Sus scrofa: one gene and its partners. The protein of the gene in region 2 interacts with the protein of the main gene of each other region in a pairwise test. Links are inferred from orthologs where the notes say so. Each region holds a gene or a part of one and is shown on either strand. Other genes may lie near its edges.

Region 1 (4,098 bases), on a different chromosome or scaffold from region 2:
TTACGCCAGGCATTCTAAAACAAAATTCTAAGACAAATTCTAACAAAATAATTATTGGTAGAGAAATCAGAGTTGTTCTGTCAAAAAGCTTAAATATATAAGCATGACCTTCAAAATTTGTAGGCATTAATTCTATTTCCATGTAGTATAAACACTAAATACAGAGGCACTTTTATTTTTCTTATTTTTTATTTTTATTTTTTGTCTTTTTCCTTTTCTAGCGCCGTACCTGTGGCATATGGAGGTTCCCAGGCTAGGGGTCAAATCAGAGTTCTAGCCGCCGGCCTACGCCACAGTCAAAGCAACTCGGGATCCGAGCCGCATCTTCGACCTACACCACAGCTCACGGCAATGCCGGATCCTTAACCCACTGAGCAAGGCCAGGGATTGAACCTGCAATCTCATGGTTCCTAGTCAGATTCATTAACCACTGAGCCAAGACAGGAACTCCCAGATGCACTTTTAAATTATGATTATTATCCTTTTGTTGACTCACAGCTGTTGTTTCTTTGCTGCTTATCCTTCTGTCCATATCTACTCTGAAATTTCACAAACATTCAAGTTCTGTACCCCCAGACCAAAATTAATGAGTTGCCAAGGTAAATTCTCAAAAAAAAAAAAAAAAAAAAAAGGTGGTTAGAGAAGATTTAACTCTTCTGCCCCTGAAAGTGCAATTTAACAAGAAATTCATAAAGCGTATTTACAAGAAACACATGTGTATTTATCCATTCAAACCTTTCCTGAGCATGTGCTATGTTCTGGGGATGATGAGGCAACTCAGACCTGACCTAAACCTGCTGTCAAGAAGGTGCCATGACAGATACATTTACTGGGATGCAATGGGATAGATAGGTGAATTATTCTTGGGGAGAAAAAGAGGATGGGGTAAGGAGAACAGGGCAGAAGGAGCTTCTATAGGCTTGAGTGAATAATTTTAGGAGGAATAATTTCAGTACATGAACTCTCATAAACTGAGATTTCCTAAGAAATACTCCAGGAAATAGATATACTGAGAAACTAAATTAAAATCAGAAAGAGCAGCTAACAGACGAAACAAGGTGGAGAGAGACTACTCCACAGGAATGAGTTATATATCCTGCAGTTACGCTGTAAGAAAAATGAGAAGGCTTCAGTCATAAGATCTCACTTAAATACCAGTTTGGCTGTTAGATTTGAAGTTAGTTAAATCACTTTATTTGTAGGTAACTCTTCATACAGAAAAATATATACATATAATGGCAATTACCTAACAGTGGGGAAAAAAAGGTTTTTTTTTTTCTTCTAGAATTAAGGAAATTAGCGATCAAATCTGAGCCGAAGCTATATTTTTACCTAAAGATTGATAAGAGAAATTCTCCAAGATATGTTTAAGGGTTTATCTGATTTGTAGTTAAAAAGTCCTTTCAGTTCATTAACAGAATTTGGAAGCTCAAATGCCTTCATTAAAACTAGTAATTTACATTCACTTACTGGGGTGATTCAAGCTGAATCTTTTTTGATGCCTTGGTCAGTACACCAGTTTTATTTTTTGAGGCGATTACATGTGCTTTCCAAATAAGTAACTTAATACCATTCACCTCCAGTGCTGTGAGGACCCAAAGAGATTAAAAATAGAAGCTTTCCTTAATACCGAATTAACCTGAGGACCCCATGAGCTCGCAAAGGACAGAAAAATCTAAATGCTCAAAACACAGTAGGCAAGCACCTTTAAGGAACCAAAAGGAGGGGGGAAACCTCGCAATGTCAAGATCACTTCACCTTATTCTAAACAGAACACATGCCTTTGAGTCTCTCAATGTTCGTGTCTAAGTCCTTCTTTACTGAATTTGTTCTTCAGTGACGTACTGAAACACAACAAAGAAAGTATTTACCGATTTACAAACTTTGTGAGTCTCTGAATTACAGAGAAGAACTTGGTTATCTGTAACCTTAATACTACCCACGATTTCCAGTGCACACTCACAAGTTACTGCTTCAATGTCCTAAGGGCGCACAAGGATAGTCAAGCAACATGAAGAGGCAGCTCTCGGCCTTTAATAAAAATTTAAAAAATAAAGGAAAAATAAATTGGGCAAAAGACCATACAACTTTTAAAAGATTCCAAGTAAGTAAGACGTTAGAGCCAACGCTTCTATCAGGGTAAATTCTGCGGTGCCATTTTTGGCCGCCAATCACATAAAAATACGCTGTTCAGATTACAACGTCCGCGATGCCCAGACCCTGCAAACTTTTTGGACAGAGAGATGTTGGGGCCCTAAGATGCCATTGGCCACGACTGGGACCCCAGTCCCCGCGCCTCCCAACTTCTCACCCGATCTCAGGGTCCGCTTCGCGTCCGCCCGGCCCCCGCCCCGCGGCCCGGAGGACAGAACGAGCACCGGCACGGCCCCCCGGGCGGCCCCCGAGCCCTCCCGCAGCGGCGGCGGCGTCCTGCGAGCGGGCGCGGCTCCCCCAGGGCGAGGGGAGCGGCCGGGAGCGCCCCGTTTCTCACAGACCCCAACATGGCGTCGGCCGCCGCCGCCCGAGACGACGACACCTCCCCGCGCCGCCGACGGCCGGGGACCGCGGAGGGAAGCGCCCGGAAAGTTTCGCTTCTCCTCTCCCCGCCCGCCGGCGGCCGGTGGACAACCAACTCCGGCTTCACCTACCCGGCCGGGCGCGGACGGCGGCGGCGGCGGCAAAGGTCCGACTCCTCCTCGTCCCGAGCGCCGGGCGCGGACTCTGCTCGATCCTCCGCCCCAGCCTCCCAGAGTGGGCAGCCAACAGCGTTTCGCAGCCGGCGCGATCCAGACGCGGCGGGCTGGCGTCGAAGCCGCTCGCAGGTGACCCTCCCGCCCCTCCAGTCGAACCCCACAACGGCCGCCGGGGACAGCCTCTCCCCTGCGCGCGCACGGGCGCGCCGCCACCCACACGCCAGCCGCGAGCGCGGGCACGAGCACACCCACACCGCTCGCTCCCCGCCCTTTCTTGCCCGTTCCCTCGCCCCGCCCGGGCGGCCCCGCGCGACGAGCTCGAGGGGGCGGAGCCACCACGAAAGCCACACCCACCTGGGTAGCCAGGGCCTGGGGTTGGTTCCTCCGTGCTCAGTGGGAACGCGCGCCTTGGAGCCGATTGGGCGCACGTGGGACGTCTTACCTGGGCTGCCTAGCTGCGGGCAAGTCCTTGGAAAGGATTGTTCATCTGCCCACGAAGTTCTTAGCGAGGCTGGAAGAACGGAAGGAAGGCTGGGCCCCCTCTCCCACACCACCGAACTGGCCTGTAAGGGGAACTCAAGAACTTTCCACTGCCGGGAAATAAAAGCTGGGCGGACTTTTGTTTGCTACTCCCACTTTAGCACAGCGTTCCTGCCTGTCACATCTTCCACTGGCTTTTCCTAAGACCCCACCACTTGAAACAGAGGGAGCTGCGGCTACAACACACATACCCCATACAGTCTTTTAAGTGATGGATGACTTATTCCCTGACTTAGAACTCTGGTCTTTCCAAAACTTTTTCTCTGACGCCACAAACGTCATCCAACTTCACACATCTGAAAACAGTAATGATACCATATAAGGTTAAACCTGCCCTTCTTCATTTATAACGCAGCTAAGCGAGCTGACGGATACGTGGAGAGATGTTTAAGATGACTAAGATGAGGAATGGGGGGAGGAGACAGAATATTCACTTCAAACGGAAAGCGTATAGGCAGAAATTAGACTTGGGTAAATTTTATCTTTCCCGTTGATCTATTATTTCAAGGATATTTTACCTTTGATTATTCTTGAATTAGAACCACCGCACCCAAGCCACATAAAAGAGCACCCACCTAGGGATACATAAGCAGGAACTTTCTTTTGGTCTGGGATCCCCTCCAGGTATTCAGCCTCCCATCCTCACTTTTTCCATATCTCAGAAACAAGCAAGTCTTTTAAATAAAATTAGTAACTAGAAAAAAACTGCAAAACCGATATTTTTTTTTAATAGGAAAACGTAGACTATTACCACCAGAAAAACTTTACATCTGTTAGGTATAGTTGTCTCTGAAGACAAGTGTAAATGTCCCCAGGATTCTCATCTGAACCATCACCCTACCCCAATTTCATTTAGTTCCTTCTT
Region 2 (3,500 bases):
TTAACAACGGAGCTTAGAAAGCATCTGTCTCCTGGATTCCTAAACTCTTCTCCCCACTCTGCCACCCTGCCCTTTTCCTGCAGTACTGTTTTTAATCCCATCTCTAGCATCCAGAGGCAGGGTATTTTAATTAGTCCATTTAATTAGTTCATTCTAAATATGTGCCACCCCCCCCCCATTTTATCACCTAATAATTGACTCTAGTAAGTCCCTTTTGGCAGAAATGGGAAACATCTGAAGTGGCCGTATAATCATCTGTAGGTACTCTCATTCTTTCTACACAAGCTGACTTAGTCAACTAAAGAAATAGACTTGGGCCCGTCCCTTCCCCATGTCTCGCCTGTGCTGTTCTCCCTGCCCGGAGTGACTCTTTCCCACAGATTCCACCTCAGTCTAACCCCAGGGTTCTCTGATTCAGGTGGGAGCCTGAGTGTGCAGAGCCAAGGCTAATGTCTGGCACACAGAAAATGATCACCCAGCCAGAAGCTGTTTTTCTTGTGACCTTTCTAATCTGTACTATTCAAGTTATACTTGTTAGTACTGCTCTGTGATTTGTCTTTGTGTAGATATATGTATATCTCGTCAACTAGTGAGCAAGTGAGCTTCTGGGCAGAAGAAGCCATGACTAATACATTTTGTTTCTCCACAGTGTCTGCTCAGTGCCTTGCACGTAATTCACTCCAGATAAAGTCGATTGAATGTGAACAATTTCCTTTTGAGGAAATTGCCTTAAGGATGCTATAAGAGGAAAGCCTGAAAAGGCTAATATTTGTGAGGACTGGTGAATAAGCCCAGGCCTTCCAAATCTCTCTGATACTCAGCCCAGCTGGGGTCTGAGTTGAAATTGTCAGGATTTACTACACGTAGTTTTCGTTTTGCTTGCCGGAGCACACAGCTGTTTTCTTTGCCATCAAAGAAGCTTTGCTTCTGCTCAGGAGCCTCAGTGGTCTGACCGCCACACTTTGGCTACTAGACTACCCTGTCTTGGGCTTCAGTTCTCTTGGCTTCATACCCTTCCACCAGTTCAGCTGGTTGGCTGCCTTGCTATGAGTAATTCTGGCAACGTTTGCAATCTATAGGGAATCTTCCAGGCAAGTCTGACCTGCAGGGGCCGAATAACCTAACATCCATTTTATTAGCTTATTAACTTGTTCCTCTGACAGGGCAATGCCTAAGCTACCCAACAGCCATGGTAGAGGTGTGTGGTTGCTTCCTGAAATGGCCCAATCTCATGCCCTTCCTGTGTTGACATCAGGCTCTGACAGCTTTCACAAAAGTCTTTTTAGCCAGAGAGGCTGAAATAGTGACACTTGCAGCATGGCTCAGTTGAACTAGTTAACAGCGGTCTGAGGGCTTATCTCAAATCTAGGACCTTGATGAAAACTTTGTACCATTTCCATCCTGAGCCAGCTCCAAATGGGATCTTAATCTTGTCTTTCTGAACCAGCTTCCTATAGCCAGGCCCTACCGAGAGTGAATGGCTTAAGCTCTCGGTTAAGTAGTACTTTAATGTTTTCAGACTTAGCCAGGCTGAAGACTTGAAAGCAACCTCAAGAACCAAAGGGAATGGACAGGGTACAAGTTCAAGATTCAGATGTACCTGAATCCAGGCGCTACCACTCTTGAGCTGGGGATTTAGGATAAGTCAGTAGACTGAGCCTTGGGTTCCTGGTGGAGCGCCCTCTCTCAGAGAGAGCCAGTGAGGTAAGCTATATAAAGCAGCTGGTGCCTTGACTGGTACAGAGAAGATTCTTGGTAGCACTCACACTGTTTCTTCAGCCTCGTCCCCTCCACCCTCCTGCTTCCATTTCCCCGTGTGGTTGTTGCTGAAAGGCATGGTTTCCTCACTGCATGGACTAGGTCTTTATTTTGTCCCCTTTGCTTTTTCTCACATTGCAACAGGCATCCCGGGCCCAAATCCTAGACAAAGCCACAGAGTATATCCAGTATATGCGAAGGAAAAACCACACACACCAGCAAGATATTGATGACCTCAAGCGGCAGAATGCTCTTCTGGAGCAGCAAGGTGAGCAGCGGAGCTTGTGGGGCAGTGGCCCTGCTGTGCTCCAGCCAGGTCAGGGCTTCGCACCCGGGCCTGCAGAGTCAGGACCAGTTCCAGAGTGTGTGCTCCTGAGCAGCTGCGGCCCTGCTTCTCGGGCCTGAGTAGCTGAGTGGTAGAGTCATCCGAGGAAGGACCTGAGACGTCAGTGAGGGAACAGTGGAGTCTAGGGTTTAGACATCTGGAGACTTTTCTCTGACCTGCTCTCTCTCCCCTTCTTGGGGCTCAGGCGCTCTGTTTGCAGTAGGGCATCAAGTGTCTCGAGAGCTGTGAGGTCCTTGGATCGGAGTGTGCTGTGTAAGTGCCAGAGACTCCAGGTGTTCAGGGACAGTGAGCGCTCCCGGTGTCACTGGTAGTCCAATCAGGGCAGCCTATGGGCCAGGCCCATGCTGTTCTCCAATGCTCACACCCGCCTTTTCCTACAACCACAGGGGAAAGCGAGAGCTGATCAAGTTCTTTGTTCCTGGGGAATTCACTTCTCTTCCTCCCTCATGGAAGATGCAAGTAAAAGGAAATGCAAGTAACCACCTGGGTTAGAACACCTCAAATAAACTAAACTAAACTAAATGGGTTATAACCTTCCAGGCTCAAGATGAGCTGAGCTGAGGGATGGGCAGCGGGAGGTGGCAGCGGGTTGGTTACTGGGCTGAGCAGCCTGCATGTAGGGGCTCCGTGTCGAAAGGCCCAGGTATTATTCTCTGTGTATTGGTGACTTGCTTCCAAGTGTCCAGCTTGTCTTTCCAAGTGAATCGCATACAAAAGTGCTAAGCCAAAACTTTTCTTTGGCTGATACATCTTCTGTCATCCTTTCCTGCTGTTGTGTGGCCTCCACACCCTTGCAGAGCCTGGCGTGGCCAGGCCGGCTTCTCTGTTACTGCACTGCTGGGTCCCACAGGGAGCTCGTGCTCCTGTCTCTATCCCGGCCTTCCACGGCAGGACGGTGACATCACAAGACTTCTCTTTCGATTGGGTGGCATTGCAGAGTGTCTGGCCTTGTCCATTCCACTGGGCACCCAGGTCTGGCTGGGAAAGGAGGAGGGAGATGAAGTGTGCAGGTGGAACAGCCACCAGAAGGGAGATCCTTTTGAGCCACTCTGAGCCTCGGGGGCCAGCAAGCCCTTCGGAAGAACAGGCTGGACCCTGACCTGAGACTCGGTTGCTCCCCTAGTCTCCAGAAGGCTGTAACCCGCTCGCTTGGTTGCCTTTCAGTCCGTGCACTGGAGAAGGCGAGGTCGAGTGCCCAACTGCAGACCAACTACCCCTCCTCAGACAACAGCCTCTACACCAACGCCAAGGGCAGCACCATCTCTGCCTTCGATGGGGGCTCAGACTCCAGCTCGGAGTCGGAGCCCGAAGAGCCCCAAAGCAGGAAGAAGCTCCGGATGGAGGCCAGCTAAGCTCCGCGGGGCAGGCCAGCAATAAAAACTGTCTGTCTCCTCCG
Region 3 (4,216 bases), on a different chromosome or scaffold from region 2:
AGTTGTGCTGGACCAGGAGGTGGTTTGGTCTCCATGCCGAGTCACTAGCCCTGGCCAAGCATATGGGAGCACTAATCCATGGGGGAGGCAGTGGGGGGGGGGAGGGTGCTGGGGAGGGCAGGGGTGGCTGGGAGACCCTGGGGAGTCCCTAACCTCAGGATTCCCAGCTCTGTCAGTCCTTCTCGAAACAAGGAAATGCATATAAAGCTTTCAACAGGCCCTCAGGCTGAAACTGTGAGGTTTTTAGTTTTGTCCTGTTGTGCTGGCAGCAGCAGAGTGTCTGTGTTGGAGGGGGTGTCCAGCCACCTTGCACCCCAGAATCTCCAGCTAGCTGGCCCCCTGTACAGGAGCTCCCAGGCCATCAGTCTCAACGACCAGTGAGAGGGAAAATTAAGGAGGCCTGTGGCCAGTCTGGGGCTGCCCCTAACCTGCCAGTCCCTGCTCCAATGGGGCCAGCTTAGGGTCAGGCGTCACTAGGGCCACCTGCCAGCCCGCCAGCCGGGAGCTCTCGCCCCTCCCACGAAGGGCAATTCTCTTCCCTAGAAAGCGCTTCCATGGCCAGAGGGGACAAGCGCTCGCCTCTTGGAATGTCCCCACCCTTTGGGCCAGACAGGAGCACGCAGCCCTCCACTCATGGGAGCCCTGCGGCGGCAGATCTTGGCACCCTTCTCTTCTCACATCCTTCCTTCAGCCCTAGGGTCCACTGGGCAGCTCTGAGGGACCCCTGCAGCTCCGGGCCTCAGTTTCCTACTGAGATCCTCCGTCTAGGCCCCTCTTCCAAACCCTAGCCTTTCCTGGGATCGCGCTGTGTCCGACGAGGAGGGCTGTCGTTTTGCAGCCCCACGAGAGACCTCCGAGGAGACCGCGAGGCCCCGAGCTTCCGCGAAGCCAGTTATGGCAGCAGGCCCGGGGCGACAGGTTCCTGTGCACGGTGTGTGCAGATCCGGCGCACCGGCGGGGTATTTGGGATGCTCCCTGCGCCCTAACGGGCCCTGGCTCGTGGCCGGGCGGCAGGCGATCCCACAGCCCTCTGCTTCCTCTCGGCAACGCGTCCGGCCGCAGCGCCCTCATTGGCTGCGCGCCCCGAGGCCGGCCATTGGTCCGCCGTGCCTATTTTACATAGACCGCTCTGGGCCAATCGGCGCGCGGCGCCTACTTAACATGCACGCCTGCCGCCAGTCAGCGAGCGCGGGGGCCGGGCCACCACGTGCTGTTGCTAAGCTTGGGCTTCTAAATTGTTACTACCGCGGCGGGCCTATCGGAACCGAGCTTCGCATCTGTCAACATTCTCGGCCCGGCCCGAGGCGTTCGGCCGGCTCCTATTGGCCCCGACCCAGTCCGGTGCCCGCCCCCGGAGCCTGATCGCCGACTCCCATTGGTTGTGCCGGCCGCCGCTCGCCCTTATGTGTCAATTTGAGGGCCCGAAGCGGAGGGTGGCGGCCGAGCGCGCTAGGAGTCCGCGAGAGTCGGGGAAGTGGAGCCGCAGGGCGCGCGGGGCAGGCGGCGAGCGGAGCCGGCCGGAGCGGGCCGGGCAGCGGCCGCCGCCGTCCCGGAGCGCGCACGCGGGGTGGGCGGGAGGATGGAGCTGAATTCCCTGCTGATCCTGCTGGAGGCGGCCGAGTACCTGGAGCGCAGGGACCGAGGTAGCGCCTGCGCCCCTTTGTGCGCCGGGCCGCGGGCGGGCGGGCGGCGGCGGGGCCGGGACCCGGGCGGGGGCCAGCTGACCGCGCCGTCTGTCTGCAGAGGCCGAGCACGGGTACGCCTCGGTGCTGCCCTTCGATGGCGACTTTGCCAGGAAGAAAACAAAGGCGGCTGGCCTGGTGCGCAAGGCCCCGAACAACAGGTACTACCCCCCGCGCGGCGCCCCCAGGCCCGGGGCTTACGCCCCGGGAGCGCCCTCCCCCGGCCCGACCCCAGCCTGTAGCCCGGCCGCCGCCGCTGCACGCCCCGGCGGCCAGCCTGGAGGAGGAGGCATGCCCGGGCCGCGACAGCCCCTCCCGGCCGGCCCCGCCCGCGCCGTCGCCATCTTCCCGCGGGCCGCGCCTCCTCGGACTCTCGCGTAAACAGTGCCACGCGTACAGCGCCCGCCGCCCGGGGTCTCCTCCCGCAGTCGCTCCCCGCCCCCAAGTTGTTCTGTACTTTTCCTGGCAGGAAAAAAAGTTGTCAGGGGCGCTGGCGGATCCCCGGTGGGTTTAGGGAAACTGAGGTTTGGTGCAGGGCAGCGTGGGGCTGCTGGCCGCGACCTCTGCCCCCGCGGGCGGGTGGGCTGCACTGTCTCCAAGGACCGAGCCCCGCCACTGGACTGAGTCCTCCCACCCCAGGGACCTGCACAAAGAAGTGTGGAAGCCCTGCCCTGGGCCTTCAGCCCTCGCACGGTGCCCACCGCTCCTTCCCAAACTCCTGACACAAGTGAAACTCCAGCGACCCGTGCGGGGGGAGGGTGTCCCCTTCTTTGGGTCAGAAGGCCCTTTTTAAGGGGGCCGGAAGAGCTTGTGGGGCCACGTGCAGCAGCCTCTCCCAGTGCCAGAGACCCCTCTTCTTGCTCTGGCCTTGTACCCTGGCTGTAGGCGCCTGAACGTGGGGGTGCATATCCCTGGGTGGCAGTGAGGACCTTCCGGTAGGGTTTCTGTGGGATTACACTCTCCTGGCCGCTGTGGGGACCACGGCACACCTGGCACTGCCCAGGGGCCCACTTTGGCCCTGGACCATGTCACCAGGCTGGGAGCTGCCTTTCCAGGGGGCTTTGGGGCCCCTTGGCAGAGGGCGCGGCTCATTCCTGTGGCGTGCTCATTCTTGGGAAACAGAAAGGCTGGCTCAGGGACCCATCTCCTGTGACGTCCTGGCACCCTCGGCCTGGCAAGCAATTGATTGAGGCTCCATCTGCTCTGGCTGGACGTGCCTCTAAGTCCCAGCCCCTGGTCGCCTGTTGGGGACCGTTTGGTGGGGGACACCACTGCCTTAGGTGTCCGTGAGCGAGCCAGGCCCCTGCTGTTGGTTCTCACTGTGCCAAGCACCCTGCCACCCATGGAAAACTTGGGCCTGTGACCTTTTCCTCCTGTGGCATAGGGTACCCAGGGCCCATAGCTACCATCATAGCTGAGATTCTCATGCAAATGCTAATTAATATTCATCCAACCCCACGAAGGAGGTGGTATTTTTATCTCTATTTTAGGACCGAGGAAACTGAGGCATTGACAGATTGAACTACTTGCCTGGCCACCCTCTCACCTCTGGGTGGGATCCTGGCCTCGTACATTCTGCTGGGATGGAGACCCCAGGGCCCTGGGAGGGTCTCCCAGACCAGGGGGCACCTCCCCCTGCTTCTCTGGATAGAGCCCAGCTCCCCATGCTTCGGGCATATCCCGAGGCTCACAGGAGGCCCCACGTGGCTGTCCTGGCCCAGCGAGGCCTCAGCCAGCCCAGGGGCCAGGGCAGGGCAGGGCCCAGAGGACCCAGAGCTCTGGCTTGCCGGCCAGCTCCGCACCTCCAAGGCTTCTGTGTCCCCAGAAGGAGGGGGAAAGGGGTGGGCACAGCAGGGAGTAGGATGAAGTGTGGGTAGTGGGACAGAAGGGCAGCGTGTGTTGGGGAGACAGCAGCCACCATGTGGGTGCCAGGGCTACAGGAAGGGCCTTGGGGCAGGGGTGCAGCAGGAGGGGGTTGGAACCAGCCTGCCAGGGATGAGGTCCTGGAAGAGAGCTCCCACCTCAAGAGGTGGAGTGAGCAAGCTGTGATGCTGGAAACATAGCCCCGGCCAGGGAGCGCCTCTCCTCCCCAGGCCTCCATGCTCCTGGGACCCATGCGACACACTCCCCCGCAAGGCTCCTCGAGTGCCTAGACCAGAGAGGAGCATCAGGAGGGCCCCGGGCCCCTCTGTAACCCCTGAGCAGCGCCCTCTCTCCAGAATGGGGTCCAGCCCGGCCTGCGAGGGCCACTCTGGTCCGCTGCTCTGCACTAAAGGGCACTCGCCGACCCACACGTCGCCTGCACGCGAGCTGACCTGCAGATGACAGCACGGGCGGTGGCTCAGGCCAGCGAGGGTCCTGACGGCTGTGCCCCCCACCCCCGCCCCCACCCCCAGCCCTGGCAGAGGTTCTGAGGCTCCTTGCCCAGCCCGTGTGACCAGCAAGCCCTCGAGGCCCTGGACGTTCTCCTGAGGCTGCACAGGGAGGCCCAGGAGCCGGCTGCCCTGGTGGGAGGAATGGAGGCCCAAGCCCCC
Region 4 (3,221 bases), on a different chromosome or scaffold from region 2:
ACCAGACATTTCCCTTTGCAAAATCCCTGTGTCACTTCACCTTTGATTCCTCTGTTCTTCAGAGATCACAGTTAATAGCTTGTATTACAATTATTTTCATGCCCTGTTCTTGAAAGTGCACATATACCAGATTACTAATGTTCTTCCTTTTTTCCATTTGGCAGAGGAGATTGAAGTGGATGTTGAAAGCACAGAGTTCTCCCATGGAGAAGTGGACAATATCAGTACCACCAGCATCAGTGACATTGATGACCACAGCAGCCTGCAGAGTATTGGGAGTGACGAGGGTTACTCCAGTGCCAGTGTCAAACTTTCGTTCACTTCCTAGAACCCAGCATGACATAACAGTGCAGGGCAAAATACTCACTGGGCCAATTCAATCCAAACAATCTCTTAAATTGGGTTCATGTTGCAGTCTCCTCTTTAAAACTAAACAAAACTATACTTGAACAAAAGGGTCAGAAGACCTCTATTTAAGCAAATACTTAGCAAAAAGTGGGGCAGAGCCTCCCCAGCAGAACAAATATTCATAATATTCATATTTGAAAATCACAATTTCTAATGGCAGCAGAAAACTTGTGTGAAATTTTCTTGATTTAAGTTGATTTGAAAGAGGACATTGGAAATTCCATCCTCTTTTTCTTTTCTGGGTTGCTCATACTACATTGATTGAGTAGACACATTTAAGGATGGGATTATGAACCCTTCTAAGTTTTTTGGTCCTAAAAACAAACAAATATCAAACCTATAGTAATGACAAGACAAGATAATCAGGCATTAACCTTGGATAGCTAAAGAGCTATTAAAACTCAGCCTGGGACAGCTTATCATGAAGCCTGTGGATGATCAATTCTTAAAACAAAAAACAAAACAAAAAAACACCTCATTTCATGCTCTGCAAAAGGAGAGACTCCCATGAAGCCTTTTAAAAGGGATCATCATATGCAGCTCAGCTTTCTGTTGGATTCCATGCTAAGCAAGCTAACCTTATCCTGCATTGTTAGCACTAGGGCAACCCAACCTCCAGCTCAACAGTCAGCCGCCCTTAGGCCCATGGGCAGCATGGGGCAGTCCATGTGCATGACAGCCTCTACCACGCAGGGCCTGAGTTTGGATTGAGGGGCCAGAAGGAAAAAGCTCCACGTGCCTCTGTGTCTGCGTGAGCCAGAAGAGTTGTCCACGCAGATTAGCAGGCCAAGGTCTGAGCCACGGCAGCATTTTTATTTTCAGATTTTGATAACTGTTTGTATGTGTTAAAAACCAAAATGACATCTTTTTAAAGCTTGTCCATAATAGACGTCTTTTATAGTGAAAAACACATGGGAAAAAAAAATCATCTATTTTGATGCAGCATTTGATAATGATAAAACACCTCACACCTCACTCTTTATAGTGCACAAAATGAATGAGGTCTGGGCTAAGTAGAAAAAAGGTCAATGCTGTTTTTGTTTTGTTTTAGAATCATTACCTTTTACCATCTTTTAACCATCTATAGTAGACACACTATCATAGTTAACATAGTTAAGTTTGGCACTTGTCTCAATTTATGTGAAGATTTGCTTCCGTTTTCCTACAGGCAGTCTCTCTACTTCCTCACAATCCCACTGTGCAGGTGCTATTGTCGCTCTTGTCAATATTTTCAGAAATGTTATTTTCTTTTAAGTGAAATTTCTAGCCTGCACTTTGATGTCATGTGTTCCCTTTGTCTTTCAAACTCCAAGGTTCTCCCCTGGCCCTTTCCCCGACCCTGGGAAGCCTTGGAAACCTTACCTTGGCTCTTTGGACTTTGTATACTTTAAATAATTTAACTACCCTTAATTACTTAAAAAAGAAAAAAAAAGCTTTATGATTTTCATAACTTATTGCTGATTTTAATGGGTTGTTAATTTCAGTCCTGTAGTTTTATTTTGTTTAGATAGGGCTGGGCAAGGAAAAAGGAAATAAAGACAACCATATTTAGCAGTGCAGATGAGTTGTGTGTGTAATGTTAGACTATCCTTTGTAAGTAGCACTTTAACAGCTCTCACTGCTTCTATATATGAAGTGAACCATCTTGGTCATACACAAGGCCTCATCATATATTTACTTGTCCTTGTGCTCTTCCTGTGCCTCCAAAAATATTTTATCCTTGATTGTGGTATGTATGAGTGGAAGAAATTCTTTGAAATAGATGTGTGAAAAACTGCATGCCTTTAGAAGCCCATTATTAGAACTTGTTACTTCAGGTGCTGGGGACTTAATGAAAAACATGATAAATTCATTTCTGCGGCCCAGGTAAATTATTTCTGGTTTCATTTATAATTACTCCTGGCCAGGTCAAAATGTTGCCCTATATATTTGTTTTCCCAAGGGAGACAGTTTGAAGACTGCTAAGTACCTTGGAAAGTAAATGGAAGCCAATGACAGAATTTCCATTTTGTTGTTCCCAGGGCATTCATTTGCATCACTTGTCTAGGGCTGGAATTTGGGACTTTATTCAGGTGAACTTGAGGTGCTGCCATTTTGTTGTGTATGTACAGGATGGTGGGCTGGGAAGCCTTTGTCACAAACCTATAGTACTTATTTCAACTCCCCCCTAAATTACTCCTTCCCTGGATTTGTTTTCCTTGGGGGAGGGGAATGGATTGTATGATGAGTAAGAAGTATTAATTTTTTAAAAGACAAATCGACTTTGAAGATACAAAAAGTTAACTGCAAGAAATAAAAATTGTGAATGAAAAATACCTGAGTGCTTTTTGTACCACCCTTCTCTATGAAGGAAAAAGTATCAGTGAGCATCCATACCTTGAGGTCCAGCTATCTTATAAAATGTCTGTTGATACTACTTCAGTGGTCCGAATTAATGGCAGCTTAAATCATTGCCACTTCCTAGCCTGTAAATAGATACCTTCTTGACTAAGAATTCCATGTAATTTTGTTATTCCCAGGGCATTCATTTGCATCACTTGCCTAGGGCTGGAGTTTCAGACTTTATTCAGGTGAACTTGAAGTGCTGCCATTTTGTTGTGTATGTACAGGATGGTGGGCTTGGAAGCCTTTGTCACATATAGGTGATTTAATGCACCCGAAATTATTCTCCAGATAACATTTTAGAGAGTCCCTTTAGCTATGTTATTTCTCAAATTGAAAATTTAGTCGCCATTTGGAGTTCCTGTCGTGGCACAGTGGAAATGAATCCTGACTAGGAACCAAGAGGTTGCAGGTTCGATTCCTGGCCTCAC
Region 5 (3,500 bases), about 36 Mb from region 2:
CTTCTGCAAACTGTTTCATGCTAAAGTCGGTCCCTCCGGCCGAACCGAGCTTGCAGAGTCCCTGGAGGAAGGAGCAAGAACCAGCCGTTGGCCTAGGGATGGGGGCAGGTCGGGGCTGGCCCACTGCTAACGTGGGCTCCCCTCTGCCCCCGGCACTCTGCTAGGCTCTCTGGAGGCCATGCACACCCCCACAGGCTACCACCTGGAGCACTGGGCAGCAAAGTTGGCTACCAGTGTGGCCAGGGGACACAGCATCTGGGAGAGACTGACATACGGAACAACGTGCTGGCCTGGGCCCTGACCCCTCATGTCCACACCAGAATCTGCTCTGCTCCTTTCCATGAAAAACAAGAAAGCTCTTTGCAGGTGGAGCGAGGATGAGGTGCATAGAGAAGACAATGCCTCCACCAAGACCAAGATCCTCATGGCATGGAGAAACCCAGGACTAAGTGCCCCAAAGTGGAGGACCAGCCTCCTCAAGGTGCAGGGCTGAAGTAGACTCATGGAGGCCAGGTGGGCCCCGAATCACCAGCGCCTGAGGCCACCTGCCAGCCCAGTGTCTCCACCCAGCCCTCTGACCTGCCTGGCACAGCGCATCCTCCAAACTCCTCCACAATCTCCGGGAGCTGCTCCTGGCGCCCACAGGGGGCAGCACATGCCGCCCTGCATTCTCTGTTGTCCTCTCTGTACAAGGCTCATCTCCCTGACCCGACCACGAGCCCTGGGAGGAGCCAAGACCCCAGCCTCTGGCCTTGACCGGGCCACATGCCCCCTATTTTCATCTAGCATGTGCTGGGGCTGCACCCTGAGACACCAGCCAGCCCAGTACCCCTGCTCGGCTGCCAGCTTGCCCAGCCCAGGCCTGCCCCTCTCACCACCAGTGCCCGGATGCGGATGCGGTCCTTCTCGCTGCGCTTGTATAGGTCCTTCAGCAGCGAGACGCCGTTGGCCGTGATGAATGAAGCCCGCTTGGCCTTGCCGGCCGCGTGGATCAGGGCCTCCACGGCCACCAGCTGCTCCTCCTCCTGCTCCGAGGCACACAGAGCGATCACACTCTCCATGACACCATTCAGCTCCAGGGCCCGGTTGCCGGCGTCACATGGGCCCTGCAGGAGGCAGGACACCGTCTGGATGGCCCGCAGCTTCCCGGCCAGCCCTTGGCCCTCAAACCAGCTCCTGAGGGGCACAGGGTGGCAGCTGTCATACCAAGGCCAGCAAAAAGGGACACTCTTTTCCTCCCTCTCACTGGCCAGGCATCTGCACTCCTTGGGCAGGAACAGCAAGAAAAGCTGCCAACGGGAGGACACCCCCCAGACAGCAGTCCCTGATCTTCACCCAGGCTTTTATTCGACCCTCCCCTGATGACATGCCACCTGATCGAGGTCACTCTCACTCATACCACCCTTGCCTGTCTCCTTCCCCGCACTGAGATCTGATCTTAGCTGCTGCTGTCATTTCTCATTCTCCATCAACCCTCTCCTAGCTGTGAGGTACCTCGCAGGGTAAGGACTGTCATGGGGCATGACTGAGTCAGAAGTGACACACAATAAGTGCCAGGTGAACAGCATGTGCCTGAGGACATTTGTTGCACTGGAGAACTGACATAAAATGGAACGTCCCTAGTTGGGGGCAGGGGGGTCACTCTGGAACAAGAAGTGGGCCTTGCGACCATGCTGGCCCCCGCTAGCCCTCCCCAAGGGCTGCCCTCCTGGGGGGAAACCTTCCACTGCAGTCCTTCCCCCAAGGAGTCAGAGCTCTCACTGGAACCCTGACCACAGGAGGCGGGCCAACTCCCTTACTTGATGTAGTTTTCACAGAGTCGATGGAAATTCTCCCTCTCGGCATCACACCTCAGGTCATCGAAGAGCTTGCTGAGGAGAATGGAGGCGCTCATGCGGCTGTTTGCCGTCACTGTGAGCTCCCCAGGGGGGTCCTGCACAGAGCCCCCCACCTCCAGAATCTTTTTCAGACCTGAAAAGATACCCCATTTAGACAGCAGAACATGAGGTCCAACCCCCATGGGCAAAGGGAAGAGATTTCCTGGGAGATGCACAGAAAGGCTGGATCTCTCTTAATTAAGGTCACAGTGCAGTCAGGTTCAGAGAATCTGATTGGCTGCCGAGAGCAGCGGGGAGGAGCAAACGTGGGGTCAGGGAAAGACCTCAAAAGTAAGGTCTGCGGTCCAGCCCTACCCGTGGGGCCAAATGCTCTAGGGCTTTGTGGTTCCCAGTGTGGCGCAGCAGAAACAAATCTGACTAGTATCCATGAGGATGAGAGTTCGATCCCTGGCCTCGCTCAGTGGGTTGGGAATCTGGCACTGCCATGAGCTGTGGCGTAGGTCACAGACACAGCTCTGATCCCGAGTTGCTGTGGTGTAGGCTGGCAGCTGTAGCTCCAATTTGACCCCTAGCCTGGGAACTTCCATATGCCGCAGGTATAGCCCTAAAAAGCAATAAAATAAAATAAAATAAAACTGAAGGGGAGGAGTTCCCATTGTGGCACAAGGGAAACCAATCTGGCTAGTAACCATGAGGACCTGAGTTCGATCCCTGGCCTCACTCAGTGGGTTAAGGATCCGGCATTGTCGTGAGCTGTGGTGTAGGTTGCAGGTTGCAGACTCGGCTTGGATCCCACGTTGTTGCTGAGGCTGTGGTGTAGACTGGTAGCTGCAACTCCAATTAGACCCCTAGCCTAGGAACTTCCATATGCCACAGGTGTGACCCTAAAAAGACCAAAAAAAAAAAAAAAAAAACCTGAAGGCTAAAGTAACAACCACACCTCACAGGATAATTGGGATGACAAGAAAAGATGAGTAACCAACAGATGTGCGCATGCTGGCACTTTTGCCAAGCTTTCCTTACTTATCTTTTAAGAGAAATGAGAAGTACGGATTTATTTATTAAACCTTGAGAATATTTTCTTGCATACAAAAGTAATACACACTCACTGAAAAACACTACCCGTACAGAAAGCTGACCCAGCCTTGTTAACCTGCTGGCAGGCCTGCTCTTTGTGCATGCACGTGCACACACACGCAGCTGCATAGCCCAATGTTCCCTGGGGCCAATGTGGCACAGGCCACACATGCACTCTGGTGCAACCACATGCTGAATGCAATCACTCCTGGGGATAGGCAGGCCCAGCCACCTGAGCAAGATGCAACACAGGCACTTGGTCTCTTTATCACTTACCTTGATCAATGACCCAGAGGGTGAGGCTGTTGTTGGGGTCCTTAGGAGACTTCCGGGGCACCACTTTAATCAAGAGGGTCAGGGCATTGTCACGGCCTTGGCCGGAGACCCCAACCTCAGTTAGTAGCTCCAAGAGGTTACTGATGAGGACTTTCAGCTCCCGGGCTGGATCTGGCAACACGAAGACATTACTGGGCTCCACAGGGGCCGAGCTGATTTTTGACCCTGAAACTGCCCAGTGGTGGGGGGAGGGGGTGGAACCTGCATCCTGGACTCCGTGGGCTCCAGCCTTGCCCACGGGTACTGTGG
Region 6 (4,009 bases), on a different chromosome or scaffold from region 2:
CATGTGCTATGTGTTTACCCAGGACTGTCTCTTTTTAAAGAATCTAGGGATTTCCTGTTGTGGCTTAGCACTAAGGAGCCCAACTAGTATCCATGAGGACGCAAGTTCCATCCCTGACCTTGCTCAGTGGGTTAAGGATGCTGCCTTGCTGTGGCTGTGATGTAGGCCTCTAGCTATTGCTCTGATTTGACCCCTAGCCAGGGAACTTCCATAAGCCGCAGGTGTGGCCCTAAAAAGCAAAAAAAAAAAAAAAAAAAAAAAAAAGAATCTAGTTCCTACTTCTCCATCCTCTCCTTTTCCGGGTCACAGACCCAGCCCCAGTCTGGCGGTAATGCTCCACCCTGTAACAGCTGCTTTCATCTTCAGGTCTCCACCCTTAGGCTTCACCGCCCCCTCAGGTGTGACGACACCTCGTGGTGCTACCCATAGAAGTCACTGCATCTTCTTCAGGAGGCTATAAAGTCACGTTAAAGAAGGGCCCATGGACTCCGAGTAAGACGACCAGGGGCCCTGTGGGAGGAAGAAGCCTGCATCAGGTTGCACCAACCTTAAGACACCAGGAGCTTCTACAAACTGCACACAGCATAGGCATGGGTTCAGATCCTTCAAAGACGCCGTCCCAAGGCTTCTCGATCCTACAGGAAGGAAGGCATTTTCCTGAGAAGTATTGGTGACAAGAAGAATTGGTGTCGGCTCCAGAACCCTAGCAAATCAGTTCTCAAGTTGGTACCCTTCTGATGTTTTCATAGCGACAGTAGCTTCCCTGCAGATGAGGGGTTGGAGGAGCCGGGAGACTATTCCCATCCGCCACAGTAGGAAGCTGAGGCCCAGTGGGCGTTACGGGGGCAGATGGCAAGCAGGCAAAGGTACAGACCCGGGAGCGCAGGAGCCAGATCCGCGCCCCTCTTCCCTGGCGCTTGCGCACTGCGGGCCCCATTCCCCGCTCAACTCCGCCCTCCTCGCTCGGGTTTTCAAATTTGAAACCTGCTCCTTTTCCCGCCCGAACATGTTGACCAGCGGCGGGAGAAGGCGGAACCGCGCGCAGCCAATGGTGCCTCAGAGGCCCCCCAGCCCCGCCCCAAGGTGAAGACAGCTGGCCGCAGGAGGCAATGGGCAAATGAGTGAGGGCGCCCGTCGGGCCCCGCCTCCGCCGTGCCCACGTGCAGCGGCGGAGCCAGGGGCCTCCTAGAGATCACCCGCCCCCAAAGCACCATTCTGTGTTCCGGCCTTTCGCCACCAGCACGGGGCTGGGAACTGAGGCCTAGAAACGCAAGTAACAGACGTGGAGTTGCTGAGCGAAGCTGTAGGACGCAGCAACCCTCCAGCCCAGGAGTTTGTCCAAGGGTCGGGCCTGGAGCCGAAGCTTGTAGCAGCCCTACAAGTCTGAGGGGGCGGGCGTGGTCGCGTGGGGTGGGCCGAGGTTCCCCGAGGTTCCCCGGCAAGTTTCAGGAGGGCGGGGCCAGGAGCTGGGCTGTCCCGGGGCGGGGCGGGGCGTCCTGGGGGGCGGGGCCGAGCGCCTGTGTTTGTTGCGCCGTGTCAGTTACATTGTAACAAAAGTGGTGCAGCCGCTCCTCCGGCCAGCACCGTAGGCCAGCCCGCCGCCAGCTGTCGCGGACATGGAACCCGTGGCCAGCAATATCCAAGTTCTGCTGCAGGCGGCCGAGTTCCTGGAGCGCCGCGAGAGAGGTGAGGAAGAACCCTTGGTTCTACTCGAGGCAGCGACCTCGTTGACATGGGCCTGGGCTGGACTTGGCTCCCAACTTGAAAGATGCATGGCTTTAGGGCAGTAGTTCTGGGGCACCCCTCCCTCACCTCAGAGGCGTCGGGCAGTGTGGTGGGAGGGCTTGGCGACATAGCCCTGTAGCCAGAAGGCCCTCCCTGATCCTACTGTGCCAGGGCCGCCCGCTGGTGTTAGCCCCAGCCTGACGCGGGCGGGGGTTCTCTCCCGCAGAGGCGGAGCATGGCTATGCGTCCCTGTTTCCGCACCGAAGTCCTGGCCCGGTCCACAGGAGGAGGCGGCGGTCCCCCCAAGATCCTGGCGCGCTGGACAGTGGGCGGTGAGGAAGGCTGGGGACAGCGGGGACCTGGGGTGGGGGATGGGCGCCGGCCCTCTTCGGGCCCCTCCACTGCCCACTTCATCCTTGTTGCTTGAATCGTCTGGGTCAGGTACCCTCCTCTGGAGGTATTCAGACTCCTCCTGCCGTTTCTCCCCTCCTCTCCCGCCCCTTAACACTCTTCGTTCAAGGACTCTTTCTCTGGTATGTTAGGAACTGTAAACCAGACACTTCTGGGTCTTGCGTCCCCTCACACTCTTACACTCCACACTCTTACGTCCCCAAGCTTACTCCTTTGCTGTCTTCTCAACCCTTTGCACATGCTGTTCCCCCCAGTTGGAATGCCTCTCTGTCCACTACCCATTTTGAATAACTTGTGTTGCTGGGCTTAGTTCAGTTGTCACCTGTGTCCAGGAAGCCCTTCCTGATTGCTGCTGGGGTTCTGATTTGGACCCCACAGTCACCTGGGCAGGCCTCTGTCAGCATTTGGCCTCCTTACTCTCTCTGCCTCTGCCTGGCGACTCAGGTGCCTGAAGCCAGTACGAGCTCCCCACAGCGGGCTGGTTTGGGGGACACATCTGTAGTGAATTTTGAGCCTCTGGGAGCCCTGGGAGTGAGGGTGTGGGCAGTAGCTGACGCCCCCTCACCCCATCCTCCCTGGCATTGGCAGGTCTGTGCATAACGAGTTGGAAAAGCGCAGGTGAGTCCCAACCCTGCCCTGACAGCACCAGGCCCCAGGAACTGCCTCCCTCTGGCCTTCCCTCCCCTGCTGTCCCTCATCTGGCCAGCAAGTCTGGGCTGGCACTGCCCTCTAGACCCCTTCCCCGCAGGAGGGCCCAGCTGAAGCGGTGCCTGGAGCAGCTGAAGCAGCAGATGCCCCTGGGGGCTGACTGTGCCCGATACACCACACTGAGCCTTCTGCGCAGGGCCAGGATGCACATCCAGGTAAGGAGCTACCCTGGCACCCTGGGGCCAGCTTGCCAGGATGTGTGAAGCAAGGCAGTCGGGAGGGGCCGGGTGGAACTGAGGAGAGAGGTCTGAGGTTGTGGCCCAGCTGTGAGACATGGGGCTGTTTTCTCTGTGCTTTTAGTTTCCAAATTTGTTAGGTAGGAAGAAAAATAGAAAATAATTCAGAGGATTGTTCTGAGGCTTTAAGCAAGTTCTTCCAATAAATGTTCACTTGTTATTATAGCAATTATTACTTGGATCCCAACTGTGGGACCCTGGACGAGTCACGTAGCCTCTCTGGGTTTCATTTCCTCCTCTGCATGGGAGGCATTCTGTGACGGGTCATGTGTAAGGGTCCCTCAGAAGGTAGAGAGCTGGTTCTCACTCTTCCTCTCCCCCATCCTTCAAGGCCTCCTGCTCTGGGCAGTCTTTCCTGACCCTGTTTTGGGAGGCAGCTCCAGGGGCTGGGAGGGTGAAAGCCCTGAGAGGACACCAGTGAACCATCCTCCAGGTGCCCTCGCTGCTGCCAGGACTGAGCTCAGCGCCCCCTAGTGGACGGGAGTGGAGTGTGCTGACTAGAGCACAAGGCAGCTCTGCATGGTGGGGACTAGAAGTGCCTGGGAAGCGATAGAGAGAGGCCTTTTCCAGCCCTCTTGGCTCTTATGACAGAGGGAGTAATGGAGGTGCAGCCGAACTGTTGAGAGGCAGAATCAGAACCCAAGCCTGGGTCTCCTGACTTGCATTTTTGCCTTCAACAAGTGAGCACCTGCTCTGCCAGCCCTGGCAGAGACAGATGGAAGTGCTGTGCAGCAAGTAAATCAGTGTGGGCCTAGATGCCCACATTCCCCTCATTGTGGCTGAAAAACACCGGGGCTGAGTAGCAGGCTCCAGTTTCTCATATGGAGTTTGCCTTGCTTGGTTCTCAGAGGGGCTGATGTGTGATGTGTACTTAGATGCTGGCTGGCCTGTGGGCAGGACCTAGGGATTGCTCCTTCCTTGAAGCCTTG

The links.
Region 1: the proteins of MAX (region 2) and PLEKHF2 interact in binary tests that used the Homo sapiens proteins (3 or more experiments, as listed by UniProt). The two-hybrid records come from large-scale screens. The link is inferred for Sus scrofa from reciprocal best matches to the Homo sapiens genes MAX and PLEKHF2.
Region 3: the proteins of MAX (region 2) and MXD4 interact in a two-hybrid assay, tested with the Homo sapiens proteins (2 studies listed by BioGRID). The link is inferred for Sus scrofa from reciprocal best matches to the Homo sapiens genes MAX and MXD4.
Region 4: the proteins of MAX (region 2) and MXI1 interact in binary tests that used the Homo sapiens proteins (3 or more experiments, as listed by UniProt). The link is inferred for Sus scrofa from reciprocal best matches to the Homo sapiens genes MAX and MXI1.
Region 5: the proteins of MAX (region 2) and UNC45A interact in binary tests that used the Homo sapiens proteins (3 or more experiments, as listed by UniProt). The two-hybrid records come from large-scale screens. The link is inferred for Sus scrofa from reciprocal best matches to the Homo sapiens genes MAX and UNC45A.
Region 6: the proteins of MAX (region 2) and MXD3 interact in a two-hybrid assay, tested with the Homo sapiens proteins (4 studies listed by BioGRID). The link is inferred for Sus scrofa from reciprocal best matches to the Homo sapiens genes MAX and MXD3.

What each region holds. Positions count from the first base shown.
Region 1 is NC_010446.5:41,532,133-41,536,230, forward strand, and holds the start of PLEKHF2 (pleckstrin homology domain-containing family F member 2), read right to left. Parts: upstream 2,801-4,098; 5' UTR 2,649-2,800; intron 2,397-2,648; exon of another isoform or gene 2,312-2,396; intron 1-2,311. UniProt on the Homo sapiens protein: May play a role in early endosome fusion upstream of RAB5, hence regulating receptor trafficking and fluid-phase transport. Enhances cellular sensitivity to TNF-induced apoptosis.
Region 2 is NC_010449.5:89,144,266-89,147,765, reverse strand, and holds part of MAX (protein max), read left to right. Parts: intron 1-1,902; coding exon 1,903-2,026; intron 2,027-2,490; coding exon of another isoform or gene 2,491-2,575; exon of another isoform or gene 2,576-2,591; intron 2,592-3,268; coding exon 3,269-3,456; 3' UTR 3,457-3,500. UniProt on the Homo sapiens protein: Transcription regulator. Forms a sequence-specific DNA-binding protein complex with MYC or MAD which recognizes the core sequence 5'-CAC[GA]TG-3'. The MYC:MAX complex is a transcriptional activator, whereas the MAD:MAX complex is a repressor.
Region 3 is NC_010450.4:1,214,008-1,218,223, reverse strand, and holds the start of MXD4 (max dimerization protein 4), read left to right. Parts: upstream 1-1,416; 5' UTR 1,417-1,579; coding exon 1,580-1,643; intron 1,644-1,743; coding exon 1,744-1,843; intron 1,844-4,216. UniProt on the Homo sapiens protein: Transcriptional repressor. Binds with MAX to form a sequence-specific DNA-binding protein complex which recognizes the core sequence 5'-CAC[GA]TG-3'.
Region 4 is NC_010456.5:120,719,912-120,723,132, forward strand, and holds the end of MXI1 (max-interacting protein 1), read left to right. Parts: intron 1-164; coding exon 165-328; 3' UTR 329-2,721; downstream 2,722-3,221. UniProt on the Homo sapiens protein: Transcriptional repressor. MXI1 binds with MAX to form a sequence-specific DNA-binding protein complex which recognizes the core sequence 5'-CAC[GA]TG-3'. MXI1 thus antagonizes MYC transcriptional activity by competing for MAX.
Region 5 is NC_010449.5:53,537,547-53,541,046, reverse strand, and holds part of UNC45A (protein unc-45 homolog A), read right to left. Parts: intron 3,363-3,500; coding exon 3,192-3,362; intron 1,972-3,191; coding exon 1,800-1,971; intron 1,177-1,799; coding exon 876-1,176; intron 62-875; coding exon 1-61.
Region 6 is NC_010444.4:80,635,774-80,639,782, forward strand, and holds the start of MXD3 (max dimerization protein 3), read left to right. Parts: upstream 1-1,209; 5' UTR 1,210-1,616; coding exon 1,617-1,686; intron 1,687-1,951; coding exon 1,952-2,057; intron 2,058-2,724; coding exon 2,725-2,754; coding exon of another isoform or gene 2,755-2,884; coding exon 2,885-2,999; intron 3,000-4,009. UniProt on the Homo sapiens protein: Transcriptional repressor. Binds with MAX to form a sequence-specific DNA-binding protein complex which recognizes the core sequence 5'-CAC[GA]TG-3'.